Linked DNA regions of Alligator mississippiensis. The protein of the gene in region 1 purifies or fractionates together with the protein of each later gene. This does not show direct contact. Links are inferred from orthologs where the notes say so. Each region holds a gene or a part of one and is shown on either strand. Other genes may lie near its edges.

Region 1 (10,101 bases):
TGAAGGAGGTCAAACCTAGTGCCTACCTTTTTAACTACCCTTTCCATAACTTTTGTTCCTCAGATTCTGGCCCAAATGTATTTAACAATTTTAAAAAGTCAGCCTACCTTTATCAATAACAGATGGTATCAAACCACTGCAGAAGACTCAGAATCTCCTTTTGGAGCTTTATAAGAATAGAGCAGACATGTCTCTCTGTGGTGATTTAGGTCTACTTGCTTCTGCTTCAGGGAAGGAGATTGAACTAGGTCCTTTTCAGACCTAAATGTCAGTGATTCTGGGAAACTTCAGTAATGGTGCCTAGTGTCAGCTGTCGTGAAGCTGGAGGATGAATTTTGGGATGGGGAGGACTCTGTGGCCAAGATGATGTTCGGCTGGGTCTGTGAGTAAAATCTGGAGCCACAGAATTACAGCACTCCTGGTTATAGACTATCAAACAATATTACAAAAAAACCCTCAAACCCTCAGCAACATAGGAACTGGAATGGGATAGCTTTCCCACATATTTTATGATATACACATCACTCACTTGATCTCTTGTTCCATATCCAGTATCAACTGAATGCTAGATTTCTCTGCTTTTCACCCTAGAATCTTCCATGAAGGACCCTCACTGGAGGTGCAAAGAGCATTTTTCTTCACTTTGCCTTATCAATGTTGGATGTCATGAAACAAGCTTCTGGTCCCTAGCTATAACCAGAACTTCTCCAGTCAGCTGAGTCCATTTCCCTGCCTTCTCCCAGGTCTAGTCTTACCAAAAGCAGCATGTGGAACATCCAGCCAGGTGGAGTTGGAACAGACAGAACTGCCTGACTGTACCACTAGCTGTGGTAGTATAAGGATCCTTTAAGTTAAAAGCAATAACTTGTTTTAGTTTTAAATTAAGGCTTTCCCCATTCTGATTATCAAGATCAGTCAAGTGAGACTGTGTGGCAGATGTGTTGGTTAACTCTTGTAAGTTGTTCTGAGATCTGTAAACGAGAATGGGGTTGACCTCAGTATCCAATGAACACTTCTAAAACTAGTTCAATTGGAAATAAGTGCATAACAAGATTGTACACTGCAATAAATGTATGACTGTACCAGAAAAAGAACAACATAGGATCTAGTCCCTTAAAAAAAGCTTTATCCTGTACCTTTAATCTAGTTCCTTATTAGAAACAAAGGTGATTGCTCCCATCCAGAATTAATCTGGTGTATTAGATTTAACAGGATAACTTAACAAAAATCAAAACCACTTCAAGTATTTTAAAATTAAGATTATTTTAAATTTATCACAAACCTAAATGTTTTAGGACTCATGTAAATTAGAGCTTTATTTTCTGTGTGGATTATATTAAAAGTCAATCCATAATTAAAAAATGCCATTTTCACAGGTAAGGGGGGAAAAGGCAAACATTCTTCACTTGTGATTTCATACAGTCATATCTATACTGACACAGAATATTGCTTATTGTAAAAACTATTATAAAAGTAGTATTTAGGAGAAGGAACAGTAGGATACCACAGGGCACACTTTTATGAGCCATTCTTAAGCATCAAATCTGTTTTCTGTTGTTAAACATGGAGAGACTGAAACATGAATGTTTGTCCTGTGAATTCCAAACAGAGGAAGATAGAAGATGACATGTACTTTGTAAATGTGTCATTAAAGCAAACATCTGCAGTGGAATATAAAAGAGGATGAAATTAATATTGCTAGGTTCTGGGTTATTCATAACAGGTATGCTAGAAGTGCTAATGACCTGATTAAAAGAGATTTAAATATACAAGTAGTAATTCTCTTTTCCTTCTGTCAGAGTTCTGGTTTTCAAACAAAAAAAAGTGAATGTGAGGCTGTCTGCTACAAAGGTCAACAAAAGGACTCTATTATTTCAAAAATATCTGTCTGTCTCACTCTCACGCACAGTTTTGTTTTGATAAGGGAGTTTCCTAGCATTTATTAAACTGTTACTGGTGCATTGTTTCTTTCAACGATCTACATCAGCATAGGTAATTGCTACCACATAGGTTTTAAATAAAAGGAATGTTGGAATCTCCATTATGGATCAGACCAATCATCCATTAAGTACAGTGTCTTGTCTTTAGCAGTGTGATCAGTACTGGTTTGTTTGTTTTTCTTAGCTAGAACAAGGAATAGGATTTGTGGCTCCACTGACATCTCACATTTGACAGTCTCTAAGTTTCTTGCCTATATGGTTCCATTTTAGGACATAAACAGACAACATGTATCAAATCTCCTGTGTTGTTTGTTTTCCCTCATCATCTTTCCTTTTTCTGTAAATCTAATTCCTAAGCACCACTGAAATAGATTTTTTTAGAGAAGGAAAAGTACAGGCACACATTAAAGATAAAGCATCTGCTTCCTCTTGCATTAATTTTGAATGCTGCAAAGAATGAACACTGCTTACTGATGTGATTCTGAAAGACATTTATGGGAGGTTACAACAATACAAGAGAAGAGGCAGGCTCTATTTGAGAATACAGGAAACCCTCGCTATTTGCGGGTTTGGCATTCGCGGTTTCAAATATTCACGAATGCCCAACCTGCATCTTAAACACACTTACAGGAACTCCTCAGGAGCTCCGCAGTTGCTGCTGCCACTGGGCTCCCGCCGATGCCAGTGCAGCCGTGCCCCCCTCCCCAGCTGCTGGGGGCATTCCATTCATGACATTCATGAACGCAGTGCCATATTCATGGATTTCGCCATTTGCGGGGATCTCCAGAACAGATCCCCTGCGAATGGCAAGGGTCGCCTGTATCTTTATCACCTACCTAACTCAACCAAGTGCATTAGTTCTAAATGAGTTCTTAAAAGGAAACAATGTTCTTTTCAGTATAGCCTCTTTAGCTCTAGTGATAAACTCCTGCAAGTGTGTGGCTTTCTATTGTTTTCTCTGCATAGTTCAGTGGAAAGGTCCTATAGGAAAGAACCATGTGAAATTAATAACTGCAACTATATGAGCTACCTACTGTTCCAAGAAACTTAGTGTGCTCAGCTGATACGTTATTTGAGAAGCCACCAGGATTCCAAGTACTTTTAGAAAGTTTCTCCGATAAAACCGGCATTGATTTTTCTTGTTTTATTGTACACCTAATGGAGATTGTCCAGGTTGCCAGATGTTTCCTTTAGATGTTTTTATCCAATCCTTTTGAATGGCTTTCTCCTTGTACTATTTAGGAAACTGAAGTAGTTTTCAATCAGCTTCTCTGTTTGATTAATTTATCCAGAAGACAAACAGTAACAATCTGTGATTGGTTAGCCCAGAGATTTTTAATCAGGGTCAGTGCTGTGTCACCCTGGGGTGCCTTGAGATTCTTTCAAGGGTGCCATATAATTAGCACTGTTAGGTGTACAAACATGATTCACAGTACAAACCCAGATATTTCAGGTAGGGATCCAAAATGTTAAAAAAACCATTTTGACCTCTCGTGGTCTGAGTTCTTTGCAATAGAATAATTGCTCTATTATTTTTCTGTAGTCCAAAAATGAGTGAAAACTAAGAGCTGGCATTTTCTGAGGGGTGCCTTGAGCCTAACAAAGTTGAGAACCATGGGGTTAGCTGATGCATAACCTCAAAAATACAACAGAACAGGTTCAAGCTTTGCTTCTACCAAACCTGTAGAAAGCAGCTCACCTTGACACAGCTAAAAATAATAAAGTCCTTTGTACAACCAAAAAACCATTCTCTCTGTGCCTTCTTCAAGGTTGTGGCATGGCATGATATCATACCAGCTTGGATGGTGATCTTACCTGATTCACAAGCTAAACAGGATGTGCCTGGGTGATGCTTAAATGGACAGTCTCCCTATATAAAAACAACCATGGCAGGAAATTGTAGCATTCTGTTGGCAGCACTTGTCCCTGAATCACCATTGAATGGGTGTGGCAAGGTGTCTGGACTATTTGTGCCTAGAGATTCTATTTTTGGAAGTGAGGTTCAGAACAGATGTCCTGACCACCTGCCATAATTTAAAATCCCAACATACTTTTTCTCAGAAGACCAAGGATGGTAATTGTAGTGAAATAGCTAGACTGTAGCTTAGCAAATTATTTTATGTTCTGGAAACTCCACCTCTCAATCTATTTATCACCCATGTGGTTGGGCTTCTCTGTTTTGGACACTTACCTGCCTGCTGCATTAGGTTCAAATTCACTCCATCAGTGTTTATGCTTTTGTGGGTATCAGTAGGTTGCAGCATTGTTTAGTTTCTTGGCCTGCCTACCACATCTCCCAGGCACAGTCTCCCTGTCTGTTCCTCCTTCCTGGAACTCAAACCCTTCAGTCTATCTACTTCAAACACCTAAGAGCAGCACTTATCCCCATAACAACCCAATAGCTTAAATGCACCCTCTCCCAATAATCAAGGTAGTCGATCTGGATTGCAAAAACATGGGTCTTTATTAGAAAAGCCATGCCCTACTGGGTGTGCTCAGAGATACTGTGACATTTTCCAAGTACATGGAGCTTCCTGGTGTCACTCCCCAAATCATCCCCACTACAATATGTGTTTCAACCATCAGGAACCTACCTGCAGGTCATTATAGCTAAAACTGAATTCTTCAAGGGTGTGATACTGGTTAGAAATTAAACTTGCACAAGATTCTGAAGTATCTTTCCTCTTTACATTGTGGCATGGGAAATAAACAGATCCAGGCAAAAACACCTAAAAATATGGCCATTTTCCTGCCTCACTTGCTTCCACACTCTGGAGCATAGTCTGAGATCAAGCTATTCAGGATTTTTGTTCTGCAGCTCCTGGCTTATTTTCTGACTGCAGAGTATTGCAGCTCTGCTTGCCTTCGATGACCTTGGCAGGTCTTGTAGTTAACCCACTCTGCTGTTATGAAAGCCTACACATTACTTCCCTTTCCTGCTCAAAGTTTCCAATGTAGCTGGCTTTCCTTTCGTTCCAAGTCCTTTTTAACCTCCCCCCTCATCTCTGTGTCCTATTTGATGAATCTCCCTTTCCCAAATCTTCTTCCTACAAACAGGTAAAAAATGTAGGTTCTCCTCCCTGTTCCAGCAAAGCTCATTAGCATTCCCACTGTTCAGTTAAAATACTGTCATTAAGTTCCCTGGTCTGCTAGGGACACAAGAGGCCTTGTTAGGAAAGGTGACTGCACAAAGACATTTCCTGATTCAGTGACTGTCATACTAGCAATTTGATACTATCAATCCAAATTCATAAACTGTAGATAAGATTCCCCAAATCATCACGGCAGGGATAAAGGAGCCTTTTGTTTGCTGCCCCATGCTGTTGTTTGCAGTTGCAGCAGTGCCTGAATTTCAATTCCTTTATGATGCGCACAATGTGTAAATCTGTTTGCCAAGCGTTTGGAGGGGAGAAGTATGGCAATAATAAGCCCCCGTCACTACACAGTCATGTTGGTTGTCAAGCTGATTTCAAGATGCAACGATTTGCTGACTTTCTTCCACAGTCGTCTGCTGCCAGGCACCTGGGTTTGTAGCTTGCCTGTGAAATACTTGTCTTTCTGATGTATTTATCTCTGTCAGGGCCAAGCATCAGGAGTGCAGAAGCTGTGCTAACCGTTGAACCATGGGAAGACCTGCAGGATTTGCTACTCCTTTTTTGAGGCGGATCTTCGCAGGGAAGCCTCGGAAGACACCGGCTGCCTGGCACAGCACAGCTGGGCCCCTCTCGAGCCCTGGGACGTCCAGCTCCCTCCTGCAAGGCGCTGGTTGTCCGGCCTCTGGGGCTGTCAACCTGCTCTCTGCTCTGCGCTCCAGTGAGAGCTGCACAGGAACCGGCCACGCAGCTGTTGCTCATTTTCAAGCACTGACTGTCTCTCTGTAGCTGCACGGCCGGCTCGACGCGGCCACCAGCACTTGGCCCAGAGCGCTGGGCCGCCTTTCCCGCGACGCGTACCGTGCGGCCACGCCCCGAGGGCGGCCAGCGGCCCGGCGGCGCCCCCTGGCGGGAGCCGAGGCCCCAACAGGGCGGGGAGGGCTGCGCTTCCGCGGCGCCTGCGCGGCCGGGCCGGGCCGGGCCGGGCGATGGCGGCCGGAGGCAGCGACGCGCGGGCGGCCGACGTGGAGGAGGACGCGTCGCAGCTCGTCTTCCCCAAAGGTGCGCGGCCGCCACCCCCCGCGGGAAGGAGCCGGGAGCAAGAAGGGACGGCGGGCTCTTTCCCGCCGCGACCTGCTCTGCTCTGGCCCCTCCCTCCTCGCGCACGTGGGGCCGCGGACAGGCCCCCCGAGGTGCCCGGGCTGTGAGCGAGGGTGGCCTCGCCGGGCTCCCCGGGGCTCGCCGCACCTGGCCGCGGGGGAGCAGTGGCCATTCATACACCCGCCCTCCCCCTGACAGCTCAGGACAAGCGTCGGGGCTTCTTAACCTGGCAGGGGAAATACCATGTATGTGTGGCAACGCAGGCAGTTGTCCTGACCCGCTGCGCAGGAGAGCTGCTCTTCTGGCGTGGTTCAGGGCCCGCCAAGGTGCAGCGGGTTTAAGCCCACTTTATGGGCATGGGAGTCTCCTCCGGCACTTGCTCCGAGGGCCTGACGGCTGAGGGCAAGCAAAACTCAGGGGCATCTGAACCCCAAACCTCTAGGCTTGGGCCTGCAAGTAGGATGCCTGCCAAAGGTTTTGGAAACATCTGAAGCCCCAGGTGAGGGTGCAGGATGTTTGCCGATAGTAGGGCCACTTATGATTCTGGACTCTTGGATTGGGATTTAGTTTTGGCTAATTTGGCCTCCGATATAAATGTATTAAAACCGCCTTCCCTGCTCCCTGCCCATTGCCATATCTGCATGCTCCTCCCCAGCACACAGCCAGATGGGGCTGGGCCGGGCCAGGCCAGCCTGCTTTGTTTCCCTCTGGCAGGGCCCCCTCCCCTGTGGGACTGGGTTAGATCTGCTCCCGTGGGGTGGGGGGAGCTGAAGCAGGGCCAGGAGGCCCCCAACACAAATACAAAAGCAAGGATATAGACATGGGCTTCATTATCAGTGCTGATCCCTCTCTCATGCTGAGATTTTTTGCTCTTTCACCTAGAGTTTGAAACTGCCGAGACTCTTCTCAATTCAGAAGTACACATGCTGCTTGAGCATCGCAAGCAGCAGAATGAGAGTGCAGAGGATGAGCAGGAGCTCTCAGAAGTCTTCATGAAAACGTTGAACTACACGGCTCGTTTCAGCCGCTTCAAAAACCGAGAGACTATTGCCAGTGTCCGCAGGTGAGTAGGAGAGACCAGGAAAGATTTGTGTCAGGGAATTTATTATGTATGGTATTGGTACTGCGCAGTTAAAATGCCTTAGCTATGTTGCCAGAAGAGGGGTGCACTTAGATCTCAGCCAGGCTCTATGTTCTTTCTTGAGTGGGTTATGATAGATGCCTTCAAAATAAACATTTATGAGTGACATCAGATCAGTCTTTTTGGAGCCTGGGATGATTAGTAGTAGTGGTAGTTGAAGTGGGGTTGTACTTATGCAAATGCACTCTTTTTTTTTAATTTGCCCCTCCTTCTTCCCTCCTTTTTTACTGCTTCCACTGGTACATTTTCCTTTCCTGTACTTTTTTATTCTGTTGTAGCTATATTCTTACCATCTTATTTTCCCTATCTGCAGTTTATTGCTCCAGAAGAAGCTCCATAAATTTGAATTGGCGTGCTTAGCTAATCTTTGTCCTGAGACAGCTGAGGAGGCCAAGGCTCTGATTCCCAGGTGAGAATTTGTATTTAGCAGGGCTGCTGTGTGAACTGTGGGGCTCTAAGATACAGGAAGAAAGGACAAGCTGGGGTCACCTGTGGGTTTTTCCTTTGCACTGAAAACTTCACAGACACACTAGGCTGGCCTATGAGTGCAGGTCCATATAGGACTTCAGTCAGATGTCTTGTGGGTGAAGGCCATTACAAAATTACTATCTTGAAAGAGGTCAAAGGAGGGATGGTGTCTGGTTTGCATGACAGCCACAATATGAGGCTCAGAACAGTGTCTGCATTACACTGTTGGAGGAGTTGCTAGTTGGTACAAAACAATATGTTAAGAGGAATTCTGGGTCTTTGAAAACAAATGTGTCTAAAGCCATTAATTTACTGTCATTGCTCTTATCTTGCAGCCTAGAGGGCCGGTTTGAGGATGAGGAGTTACAGCAGATTCTTGATGATATTCAGACCAAACGAAGCTTCCAATATTAGGGTTAACACCCAGCCCCTCTTATGAACAGAGAAAAACTCAAGTGCTTTTTGCACTCCAGACCAAATCAGCTGCTCCCAGACCTGAGCTAAGGAAGTGCCAGGAGCAGAGTACTCCAGCCTGGTGTCCACCACAGATGCATTCAAATGGGAGGCCAGTTAGTCCATAAAAGAGACTCTTTTATGGTGAGAGCCATTGGATCCTAGAAAGTCTTGTCTGAGTGGTGTCAGTGCTTTGCTTTTCCTAACAGCCTGTCCCTGACTTGTGAATCTTTACAGTGTTTTTGGTTTCTAGAATAAGTGCAGCTGTACAATTTTTTCCTTGTGTACACCTGTTCCCCAAGATGGAGAAATTATTCCTACTGGTTGTTGGCAATCATAATGATGCATGGAATCAGGACTGATGAGACTTCGTGTGGTGGTTTTTATGTATATGTTTGATCAAGATAGTGGGATTTTCCCCCTTTAAGAATACTTTTGTATAGCTTTTTAGTTTTAATTAAAAGGCGCTATTTGTATGTATGATCCTGTGGTTTGTAAACAGTATCTGATTCAGTCCAATTTTATTTATGAAAATCCTGTTGATTTAAATATAATGATGTAGAATGAGAGAAAAATCTCGGGGGAGAGAGAACTGTGAGCAAAGAGGAAGAGATGTTGCATGATTTTTTTTTCTTTTGAACTTTTTTTATTTTTTTGTACAGGAGCATATGAGTTGCTCACCATTATTTGAGGGAGGGGGGGAGGAAGAGAAATGTGCTACTCCTATTAATTTGTAAGCTTGGTTTGGAAAAAATTTATTAATATATCAGGCACAAGAGTGAAAACCTCAGTGAAACTTCTTGGCTCAGCTGGGGTGACATTACTTGTCCCTTTCAATAAGATGTTTTCTGTTTTTTTTTGTTTTTTTTTTAATTGCAGACAGGTTTGTTTTTTGTAGCTAGAATAATCTTAGGGGTCAGAACAATACCAGGAAAAGTAACAATAAAATAGCTAGTGCCCTGAGTATCTTATAAGCTACACCCAGCTCCTTTCAATTTTGTTTGGTTCCCAGCTGTAACTGGCAGGTGTTGTTTGCCTCACAGGCCCAGTGCTTCAGAGACAGTTAAAACATATCCCTTAAAAAATCCTGACATTCTTTTAATGAGAACTTTCTCTCCAGGACCTTTTCCCTCTTTACTTGTTATAATCTTAATGTTGGTGGTTTGGAAGCAAACATTAATGAACTTACCAAAATCTCCACCCCCACAAAAAAAAAAAAAGTCTATAATTAGGGGAGATTGTTATTTCTTGCTATTTAAAAACAAACCAGGTGACTTTAGGTTAGGGAATAAGTCTTACAGCTTCAGGGCCTGAAACTGATCCCTGGAGACCAACATCATGCTCCACTAATTGAGGCTGCCCCCCCCAACAGTGACTGAATGATTGCCCATGTTTTTAAAAAAAACAAACCAGCAGCCCCCGCAGCAGATCCGTTTGGGTCCCGGAGGTTGTAAAACCAAAGCGGCTGATGCTGGCAGGGAGATGGTGGGGCGCTGCTCAGCAGCCGGGGCAGTGACAGGCCGGGGGGTCTCGCTGCTCCGTGACTGCCCCCCCTCGCAAAAGGGGGTCGAGGCTGGAGCCACGAACAGCTGCAGTGAGGCGGGCGGGTAGGAAACTAGCAGAGGAAGCCAAGGTATCCGTGTGGCACCGGGGGGGTGCCCCAGACTGCAGCCGGCGGGAGCTCAGCGCCGCCTCGCGCATGCCCCTCGGTGAGGGCTGGTGGAGGCAATAAGTGGGCTTTTGCGCACGCTCATTGCCGTCCCCCCGTGGGCTGTGCGATAGGACTACGCATGCGCTCCGCCCCCGTCGCTGAGCCTCACGTTCAGGCTTCCTCAGTTCCTGACTGCGCCAGCGCGTTTCACGCGCGGCCGCATCGCCGTTGTCTTTGCGCGTGCGCAGAGCCGCT
Region 2 (10,775 bases), on another chromosome or scaffold:
TGAAGAGGTCCAGGTCCCTCAACCTCTCCTCATAGGGTTTGTCCTGTAAGCCCCTAACCATATGAGTGGCCCTCCTTTGGACCCTCTTGAGTCTATCAACATCCTTCTTGAAGTACAGCACCCAAAACGACGCAGTACTCCAACTGTGGTATGACCAATGCCACAAAGAAGGGAAATATTACCTCCTTCGATCTATTTGTCATGCATCTGCTGACGCATGATAAAGTGTGGTTAGCTTTGCTGATGATTTCATCACACTGATGACTCATATTCATCTTGGAGTCCACTATGACTCTGAGATCCCTTTCCGCTTCTGTGTGGCTGAGAGGGTCACTTCCCAGCCAGTAGGTGTGCTGGATATTTTTGCACCCTAGGTGCAGCACTCTGCACTTGTCCTTGTACTGCATCCTGTTGTGTACTGCCTAATTTTCTAACTTGTACAGGTCTGCCTGCAATCGTTCCCTATGCCCCAGAGTGTGTACTTCACCCCACAATTTAGTATTGGCCGCAAACTTGGACAGAGTACACTTTTACACCCACATCCAATTCACTGATGAAGATATTGAAGAGCACAGGTCCAAGGATTGAACCCTGCGGGACCCCACTACCCGCATCCTTCCAGGTTGATACCGACCCATCTACTACTACTCTCTGGGTGTGACCGCTAAGCCAATTTGCCACCCACCGGACCGTGTAAACATCTATGTCACAGACTCTTAATTTATTTATGAGAATGGGATAAGATACCAAGACAATAATTTTCTCTTTCAACACCATCATGATGCAAATATTACTGGGATACAAAATGACTAGTTATTTAGGTTTAAATAAGAGTAAAGGTTTATTGACAATCAACTAATTTTACTACAATTTAGTAGTAAACACCCAAAAGCATTTATAGTATATATAAATAGTGCATACAGTCCAGCACAGGCATTAAACAATCACATGGCAAATTAATTCAGTTGGTCATTAAATTAAAGGAAAGTCTTTAAAAAATCTATTTAATCTTTTATGCCAGGGGTTAGCAACCTTTTAGGTACAGCAGGCCAAATTAGCTCAGCTAACTCTGGAGGTGAACTGCCCCTCCCCTGCCCAGCACCCCTCTTCCAATCCAGTCACTGTGTGACCCATTGCTGTGCTCCCTGCCCAGGAACAATGGTCCCTTCTTCAGAATTGGTGTTGAGGTCCTGGTTAACTACATAACAACAATTCTGTATTTTCCCCAGACAAGTGCTATATTTTTAACATGAGAGAACATAAAAATACCATACTGGTTTTGACCACAGGTCCATCTAGCCCAGAATCCTACATCTCACCAAGGTCCAGTACAAGGGCAGTCCCTGCCTGCCCACTAGGGCTGTGCAAAATTTTGCCACCAGTTTTGTTTCAACGCTGTTTCAACTCATTTCAAGGTCAAAACAGCAAAATCGAAATGGAACAGATATGGTCGAAACAGCCTCGAAACAAAATGAGGCAAGTCGAAACGTTTCGCCCATACGCCATAATGGGGAAGGTTGAAACAGCTTATAACTTTGTCATTTCTGGCCTGATTTGGATGAAACTTGCAGGAATGGTAGCCCCTGCTGAGGCCACAAAGCCTGCTAAATTTTAAGGAGATAGATGCAGGGGCTTTGGGGAAACTGCCCCCCAAAATCTTGAAAGCAAAACTCATGTCATGTGTATGTGTTAAACCACAACTGTTCACCAGGGCACCATTGGGTAAAACTAGGAGTAATGATCACAAACTCCTGGAAGATCATTTCAGGCTCAACCTTAGGAAAAACTACTTCACAACTAGGCTGTCCAGACTGTGACCATTATTCCTAGTTTTCCCCAAGGGAGCCCTAGATGTACGCTTCTGATGTAGTGGTAAGCTGCTACCAAGTCCCCTTTCAGCCTTCTCTTTTTCAGACTGAAGAGTCCCAGATCCCTCAGCCTTTCCTCATACGGGTTGCTGTGCAAGTCTCTGATCATATGGGTAGCCCTTCTCTGGACTCTCTCAAGTTTTACCACGTCCTTGTTAAAAGTGCGGAGCCCAGAACTGGATGCAGTGCTCCAGCTGCGGGCTCACCAATACCGAGTAGAGCCGAGTAGAGCAGGAGAATCATTTCTTTGCAATGATTTTGCTGGTTTTGCTGGAGATGCATCAATTGATGCATGCTAGAGTATTGTTGGCCCTGCTGGCTACAGCATCGCACCGCCGGCTTATGTTCATACTATGGTCAATTATTACCCCCAGGTGTGTGGCGGCAAGTGATCGGGGATCTTCAGTCCTGCTGGTTGATGAGAGGCAGCAGTTGCACAAGCACCCATGTCACGAGATTTGCCTGTCAGCAGCTAGGGGTGCAGGGCCCCAGAACCCCCCTGCACCGATCTCCTTGACAGCTGGCAGGCTTTGTGGCCACAGCAGGGCCTGGCAGCCCAGCCTGCAGTAGTTTCTCCCCTCCCTGTGCCCCAGGACGGACAGAGTTGCACAGGCACCCATGACATGAGTTTTGCCAGTCAGCAGCTAGAGGTGCAGGGCCCCAGAACCCCTGCACCTATCTCCTTGAAAGCTGGCAGGCTTTGTGGCCTCAGCAGGGGCTATCAGCCTGCAGCTTTCACCCTGCTGCGCCTTAACACACACAGTGTCACCCATGTCACGAGTTTTGCTTGTCTGCAGCTTGTAGTACAGTTTCCCCCAAACCCCTGCACCTATCTCCTTGAAACTTGACAGGCTTTGTGGTCTCAGCAGGGGCTAGCATGCCTGCAGTTTTGACCCCACTGTGGCTTAACACATACACATGACTTGAGTTTTGCTTTCAAGATTTTGGGGTGCAGTTTCCCCAAACACCCTGCATCTATCTCCTTGAAGCTTAGTAGGCTTTGTGGCCTCAACAGAGGCTACTATTCCTGCATGTTTTATCCAAATCAGGCCAGAAATGACAAAGTTATAGGCTGTTTTGACCTTCCTCATTATATTCTATGGGCTAAACGTCAAAACAGTTTTGCCTTTTCAACCCTGTTTTGACAGAATGGAACGGAATGGAACAGCTGTTTCAAATCGAAACAAAATTTGAAACGGAACGCTGTTCTTTCGAAACATTGAAATGCTGGTCAAAACGGAACGTCGCTGTTTTGCACAGCCCTACTGCCCATTCCCCAAACCCTCTGGAGCTTGTCTTGGGGCTCCTGCCTTGACAGGTCCCACGACATTCCCTAGCACACCATCCTAGCAGGCTGGGGAATACAAAACTAGTCTACTTCTGAACAGCCCACTGCTGCCAGCTCTAGATTCTTGTGCTTCACATTACACACTCACTCTGATGCCCTCAAAGCCTGCCTAGACACCAATGGGCAGGGCACCTTCAGGAAGGGTGAGAGTCCCCAGTGGAACAACCCATATTCTACCCATATTCCCACAAGTCATTGGGGACATTGGTTGACAGGTCCTGCATGGAACTGTCTCCATGGGCAGGTATCTGACTTGCTTCACTGATTCCCCTGACACCTGCCCTTCATGTCAACAGAGAGAGATCTTGGTGCCAGGGCTAGATTAACACATAGGCAAACTAGGTACATGCCTACGGCCCTAAGTTGCAAGGAAGGCCCTGGTGTTTCCCTCTATGGCGGTGGTGCGAATGGCCCCGTCTGCCTCCCTTCCCTTCCCCTCCCTTCTGCTGGCCTTGCCTCGGTGGTGGCTGCTTCCCAGTGGCGGCTCTGACTCGGTGCTTGGCAGCACCGAGTTGGGGACGGGGGTCTCAACTCGCCTGGGGCCCAGAAGTTTGTTTGTCTATGGCCCACTAAAGGGCTAATCCAGCCCTGCTTGATGCATGCCTTCTTTGTGTGTGCCAAACTGCAGCCTCTCCACCACCTCCTCAGGAACCTCCTTCTAAGGTTCTGGCTGCACTTCTCCCTACACCTTTTATTTTATGTACTCCCTAACCATGGCCCTGCCAAGTCCTGGGATCTCTTAGTCAGCCTCCTCCTGGCTCTGGCCAAACTTGCCATGTACCAGAACAGAAATGAGGCCCTTGCTTGGGGGAATCCTGAGTGATTCCAGAGCGCCCCAAGGGATGACAAGATCAAATGGTCACAAACTCCTCTGTGACCGTTTCAGGCTAGACATAAGGAAGAACTTCTTTACTGTCCAAGCCCCCAAGGTTTGGAATAGACTGCCACCAGAGGTGGTTCAAGCACCTACTTTGAATGTCTTCAAGACACTTTTGGATGTTTATCTTGCTGGGATCCTATGATCCCTGCTGACTTCCTGCCCCGGGGCAGGGGGCTGGATTAGATGATCCTCCAGGGTCCCTTCCAGCCCGAACATCTATGAAATCTATGAAATCTATGATTGTGGGACTGTTTTTCTGTTACTCCTTTGTGCATGTCTCTGGGCAGTTTCACTGGGGGGTGTCCACAGACTCCATGAACACAGATGAGGGGCAGTGGGTGCTGTCTGGTGTTTTCTGCTTGGAGTTTTCCCTTGAAACTCTTATTATAAGAGTCCTGTCTGTTGGTTTTTTCATTTATTGTTCCCTGAAAACAGCTGTTACGCTCTTAGCGGCCTCCCTAACTGAAGGAGACTTACAATTTTCTTGTTGGGCCTAGGACCACTGCCCTTTGTGTAAGAAAAAAGCCTGCATCTCATAGTAATGGACAGCAGATGATAAGGGGAAGTTTATGTTAAAAGTATGTAAGGTCATATAGAGCTATGAAAGTGCTGTCAGCTCTAGATACAAAAAAATCTATAATCTGACTGTGTTCCTGCATGACTCTGTCATTGGACAAATAATTTCTTCACAGGAAAAAAGAAATTGCTCATCGAACTGCAACTAGTCAGTGTACCGACATCAGAACTGACCCTTCGCACTTGTTTGTTGCCTCTTATACACTTTCTAAATATGCTTGTGAGTGACTCCCTGTACTCGGAGCGTGTCTACAATCAGGCTTCTGACTACAGAGTAGTGTGGACTTGTCCTAGCTAGTTAGGTTGGGTACCGGTGAGTCTAAGGGTATGTTTACACTGCAGCAATTTGTTTTGGCCAGGACACCTCCATGCACACATTTCCCACCTACTCCCACTGACATGCTCCAAATTCAGAAATGCTTTGGCGAGGCTGCCCCTCTGTGGCTGTTTTTAAGAGCTTGGTCTTTGGTGTACTGGGAACAACTTCACCCTCCTATCCTGGATTTGGAGCAGGATTGAATATAGGCAGGTCACACTCTGGGGGCCATGCTGGAAGTAAGCTCTCGGCATGGCAGCACGATGCTTTGTGTGGGTTAGTTCCCACCGTCTTTACTCAGTGTCTCTGGCAGGATTTGGAGCACAGGCTGAGTTCTGCGCAGCCTCTGCCTGATCACTACCAGCCCCTGAGAACTACATCTGTGGTACTACTTGAGGCCACTAGCGTCTTGCTTCAGCTTTGGTTTTTGTCTGTGGAAAAATAACAGAGCTCTTCTTCTGTGCCAAAGAAAAAAGCACTGCAGGCTGGCATGATTCAGACACTACAGGCTTCTATCTGAAATCTCTGGGCTAATCACATGTAGGTGTTTGCACATCTAACCAGGCTGATACTGGGGCACCTTGGATGAGCATCATAGGGCCCCCATGTTCTGCCTCCACAGCTGCAACTGGAGCGTGTAGGAATCTCCTCAGAAAGGGGTGGATCCTGGGGGAGTACTGGCATACTTGCACCCTCCTTGGAGTCCTGTCCATCTAATGTTTAAAACCAACTGCCCGGCAGTGGCAGCAGCATTTCTAGTCAGGCAGTGCTGAGGCAGTCAACTGACTTCACAGCTCTTTATAATCGACCCCACCCCTTCTAAACTCTTCATTCCCACAGCACTAAGGACCCGCTCTTCTTTTTTAATGGTCTTGCTGTTCCACCAGGTGAGCCAGCCTCTGTTTGGCCAGCCCTCGGCTGCTCCTGGTAACTCGTTTCACAGCCCTGCAGCTGTTTTTAACTCATTTCAATGAAGCTGCCAGGTTAACCCTTTGGTGGGCCCTAGGCAAACTCCTGAGCTGAAGATGAGATGTTTATATTACTTTTTTCACTCAATAATTATATTGTGTAACATAAGCACAGCTGGACCCCTTCTTCACCCAGGAACCTAGGCACGCGCCTAGTTTGCTTCTGCGTTAATCTCTGGACGCTGCCTTAGGTTTTGCTCGCACCTCAAGGCGCACAAGCCCCGCCCCCGGGTCTCCCCGGGACCCCAGTGACGTGACGGCACTGAAGGGCGGGGCCAGGCGGGGTCTCCCACACCCGCCCCAGGGGCCGCACGGCGGGGATGCTGAGGCCCCACCCCCCGGCGTGCAGAGCAGTGCCGGAAGCGGAAGGTGCCGGGGCGGAAGTGGCTGTGCGCGGTGCATGGCGGGCCGGCGGCGGGCGTTGCGGAGTCGGGGCTGAATGAAACGGCGGCGGGCGCGGGCCGCGGAGCGCTGGGAGCCGCCGGGGCAGGGGCAGGGGGCGGCGCCGCCATGGCCTTCTGCAAGATCCCGCCGCGCTGGCTGCGCTGCCCCCGGCGGGGGCAGCCGGTGGCAGGTGAGCGGGGCGTGCCGGCCCGGCCCGGCCCGGCCCGGCCCGGGGGCTGCGGGGTCCGGTGGCGTGTCCCGCCTCTGCCGCGGGGGCGAAGGGAGACGAGCTGCCCAGTGTGGGGCACTCCGCCCTGCCGGGTGCCCCCGGCCGCAGGCCCTCGGGCTTGGCAGTCGGGTACCTCTGGGGTCAGCACCACCTCCTTCCCCGCTCTGCCCTAGGCACGTGCCCCTTGGCCTCCCCTCCCTTCCCTTCCTTGGGCCTCCTGGGGCCTCTTTCTCAACCCCCTGCTTCTCAGCATCCCTCACACTTGTGCATACGGCTCGGCACCTGGTCTCCACAGGCCAGGTGGACCTGGTGGCTAGGTGCTGTCCCTGTGTCTCTATGATCACTGGCTGTTTCTGGCGTGAGGGCAGAAATCCTCCCCCCTGGTTTTCAGTCTCCAGCAGTGACCTGGGTCATGTGTGACAAGTTCACATTCTGCACCGGGAGCAAATGTGTGTCAGGCCAGGCAGAGCTGGGAAGCATCCCTGCCAGCAGCCTGAAGGAGTGGATTTGGTACTCCGGGTACATCTTGTGTTACATTATGATACAGTGATATAATTAAGCATGCATTAAATAACAATGCTATCATCTAGTATATCTATTTTTGTTTTTGAAGTGAGGTGCTGTTAAATTCTGACAAGTTACATAGGGGCCCCATGAGTTTATAAAGGTTGAGAACTGCTGCTTTAGAGTGAACACCAGCGCAAATATAGGCATGTCGCATCTTACACGGGGGGTTACATTCTGAAGGCAGCATGTAAAGCGAAAATCGTGTATAGTGAAATCACATATTACCATGCCAGTGGTGACTGCCTCTGCTTCCAAAACCTCCCGCCGTCACGGAGCTGTGCTTAGAGCTGTGCGGCCGGCGGCAGCGGTGCAGCGCGGGGTGGTGGTGGGGATGGCTGTGCGCTGCCCGGCCACCGCCACGCCCGGCAGCTGGCCACACAGCTCTGGGTGCGGCTCCATGGTGGCGGTGGGAGGTTTCGGAGGCAGAGGCAGTCACCGCTGGCAGCGTGGTAGTGGCCAGGCCTCCAGGTAAGCGGCAATGCCGTGTGCAGACTCAAGCCCTGCCCCACCTCCCCACCTGCATATAGTTGAATTCACGCAAGTTAAATGCGCGTATGATGCAACATGCCTGTATATTTGTTTAGTTTTTCCACACTGTACTCTGACTGCTTTCTTTAGATCCTTGTGGCTCAAGAGACCTACCAATCTCTTCTGCCAGATTTCTTTTTGGCATCAGAAACCTCTCAAAATTTGTCACTTAGTTTTGTTGGTTTACTTACCCTCTGATTCTTCGTTTGTACAAAATGTGTGTGCCTCATAGATGCTTTTATTTTGAGGTACCCAGGCCACTTCTAAGGATGTTAGAAGTACACCGATACATTGGTCTGATGTGGGATCAGCACTGACGTAAAGAAAATTTTCTGTATCGGAAATCGGCCCAATGTGGCTGATAACTTGTCCAGTAAATGCCTGTGCATGCACACAGCTACAGCTCAGCACGTAGGCAGTGAGCAGCAGAGCCACCAGCATGAAGAGCTGCATGCAGCTGGTAAGTCTGGTGTGGTGGAAAGGGAAGGAACATGGAGGCGCAGATCAAGGCCCCCATGGTGAGGGAGTCCCTTGCATTGGCCCCCGTGGGGTCGGGGCAGGGGCTGCCTGGCTGGGGTGGGTATGGGGCGCAGGAAGGAGAGTGAAGTGTGCAGCTCACGTTGCTGTTTGTGGCTTGTCCAGTGCTCGTCTGGTAGCTCCCACCTCTGCTGCCGCTCGTTCGGGAGGGCACAGGGAGGCAGGACGTGTGCCCCTGATCTGCATGGGGCAGGGCGGGCTGGGGCCAGGCTTTTCCCAGCTGGGCAGATCCGAGGGCACATCCCCCCCCAATGCCCTCCCGGATGAGTAGTGGGAACAGTGGCCGGAGCTGCCAGATGAGCCGTGCGCAGTGGCAGGAGCCGCCCCCCCCAACGAGCTGTGCCTCCATCCTATGCCGACCCCAGCCCACAGCTAGAGCCTTCCCTGTGCCGTGCAGATCTGGGTGGCACACACCCCACCCCTGCGGATGAGCCACTTGTGGCTCTCTCTCATGCCTGTCCCTGCCCCGGCTGGTCAGCATGTGCACCAGCTCCATTCCCTCCCTCACCACAGGGGCCTTGATATGCCATCCCCCCACTCCCCACACACACACCCCTTCCACCACACCAGACTTATCAGCTTCAAGCTGAAGAGCTGTGTATCGAAAATTGGATTGGTATCATAGGATTCGTAGATGTTGGGGTCGGAAGGAACCTCAGTAGGTCATCGAGTCTGACCCCCTGCCCTGGGCAGGAAAGAACTTTGGGGTCTGCTAGGAGCTTGTCCAGCCTCCTCTTGAAGACCCCCAAGGTAGGGGACAGTATCACCTCCCTTGGAAACCCATTCCAGATTCTGGCAACCCTTACTGTGAAGAATTTCTTTCTAATGTCCAACCTAAATCTGCTGTCTGTCAATTTTGGCCATTGTTCCTAGTTACTCTAGAGGGTGCCCTAGTAAATAGAGCATCTCCTATTCCGTGCTGCCCTCCCCTGATGAATTTATAGGCAGCCACAAGATCACCTCTCAGCCTTCTCTTGCAAAGGCTGAAGAGATCTAGGTCCCTCAGTCTCTCGTTGTAGGTCCTTGCCTGCAGGCCTCTGACCATATGAGTGGCCCTCCTCTAAGCCCTCTCAAGGTTCTCCACATCCCTCTTGAAGTGCATCTGCTAATGCATGAGAAAGTGTGGTTAGCCTTGTTGATCACTTTGTCACATTGATGACTTAGGTTCATCTTGGAGTCAACCATGACGCCAAGATCCCTTTCTGCTGCTGTGCTGCTGGGAAGGTCATCCCTCAGCCTGTAAGTGTGTTGGTAGTTCTTTTTGCCCAGGTGCAGCACTTTGCGCTTGTCTTTGTTGAACTGCATCCTATTTTGTTCTGCTCTTTTTTCCAGCCTGTCCAGATCCGCCTCGATCTGTTTCCTACCCTCTGGTGTGTTAACTTTGCCCCATAATTTGATATCATCTGCAGACTCGGACAGGGTGCTCTCCATGCCCTCATCCAAGTCACTGATGAAGACATTGAATAGCACCAGTCCGAGGACCAAGCCTTGCGGGACTCCACGGCCCACATCTTTCCAGGTCGATATCGACCCGTCCACCACCACTCTCTGCATGCAACCCCTAAGCCAATTTGCCACCCTCCTGGTCGTGTAATCATCTACTTCACAGCCTGTCAGTTTGTTTATGAGAACAGAATGAGATACCATATCAAAGGCCTTCTTAAAGTCTAGTTAAATGACATCTACCTCAGCATCTGCATCTAAGCATTTTGTGACCTGGTCATAAAAAGAAACAAGATTAGTCAGGCAGAATGAACTCATACTGATTTCCTTTCAGCATTATTTCCTCTGCTGGGCTTCCACAAATGTGATCCTTAATGATTTTTTCCAGAGTTTTCCCAAGGATTTAGATGAGACTAATTGGCCTATAGTTTCCTGGTCCCTTCCTCCTCCCCTTCTTGAAAATAGGGACCACATAGGCTCTTTTCCAGTCCTCTGGGACCTGACCAGAGCACCATGAATGCTTGAACAGACGTGCCAGCGGCTCTGCCATGACATTGGCCAATTTCTTCAGCACCCTTGGATGAAGTTCATCCAGACCTGCTGATTTGAACACATCCAGCCCCTCCAAGTGCCCTTTCACTAAGTCTGCGCTAACAGTTGGTGGGCTGTTGTCCCTCCTGTGTCTGTCTGATCCAAATGTGAGATGAGATGTGTTTTTGTCCGTGTCTAGGAATACAGATGCAAAGAACTCATTGAAGAGCTTAGCTTTGTCCCCCCTCTCTGTCACCAGTTGCCCTAGTTTGTCCTGTAGGGGTCTTATGCTACCCTATGCTTTTCCTTTACTCCCTGTATACCTGAAGAAGGACTTTTTTGTTGTTCTTAATTTTTGTCGCCAGCCTAAGTTCTAATCCTGCTTTGGCCTTCCTAACTGATTTCCCTGCAAGTGCGAGCCAGGGAGGTATCCTCCTTCTTGGTAGCTACCCCTTGTTTCCACAGTCTGTATACCTCTTTCTTTGCCTTTTGAGCTTTCCTGGACTTCCCTGTTCAGCCAAGAGGGCTTCTTGGCTTCTTTGCCTCCTTTTATGCGCAATGGGATTGTCTCCTCCTACGCCTGTAGGATTGCTCCCTTAA

Evidence for each region.
Region 2: the proteins of POLR2D (region 1) and RNGTT purify together in Homo sapiens (affinity purification with mass spectrometry; 3 studies listed by BioGRID and IntAct, with this or other methods). This does not show direct contact. The link is inferred for Alligator mississippiensis from reciprocal best matches to the Homo sapiens genes POLR2D and RNGTT.

What each region holds. Positions count from the first base shown.
Region 1 is NC_081830.1:39,461,639-39,471,739, reverse strand, and holds POLR2D (DNA-directed RNA polymerase II subunit RPB4), read left to right. Parts: upstream 1-5,984; 5' UTR 5,985-6,021; coding exon 6,022-6,094; intron 6,095-7,015; coding exon 7,016-7,196; intron 7,197-7,587; coding exon 7,588-7,683; intron 7,684-8,077; coding exon 8,078-8,156; 3' UTR 8,157-8,671; downstream 8,672-10,101. UniProt on the Homo sapiens protein: Core component of RNA polymerase II (Pol II), a DNA-dependent RNA polymerase which synthesizes mRNA precursors and many functional non-coding RNAs using the four ribonucleoside triphosphates as substrates.
Region 2 is NC_081824.1:76,588,424-76,599,198, reverse strand, and holds the start of RNGTT (mRNA-capping enzyme), read left to right. Parts: upstream 1-6,379; 5' UTR 6,380-6,395; coding exon of another isoform or gene 6,396-6,466; coding exon 6,467-6,530; intron 6,531-10,775.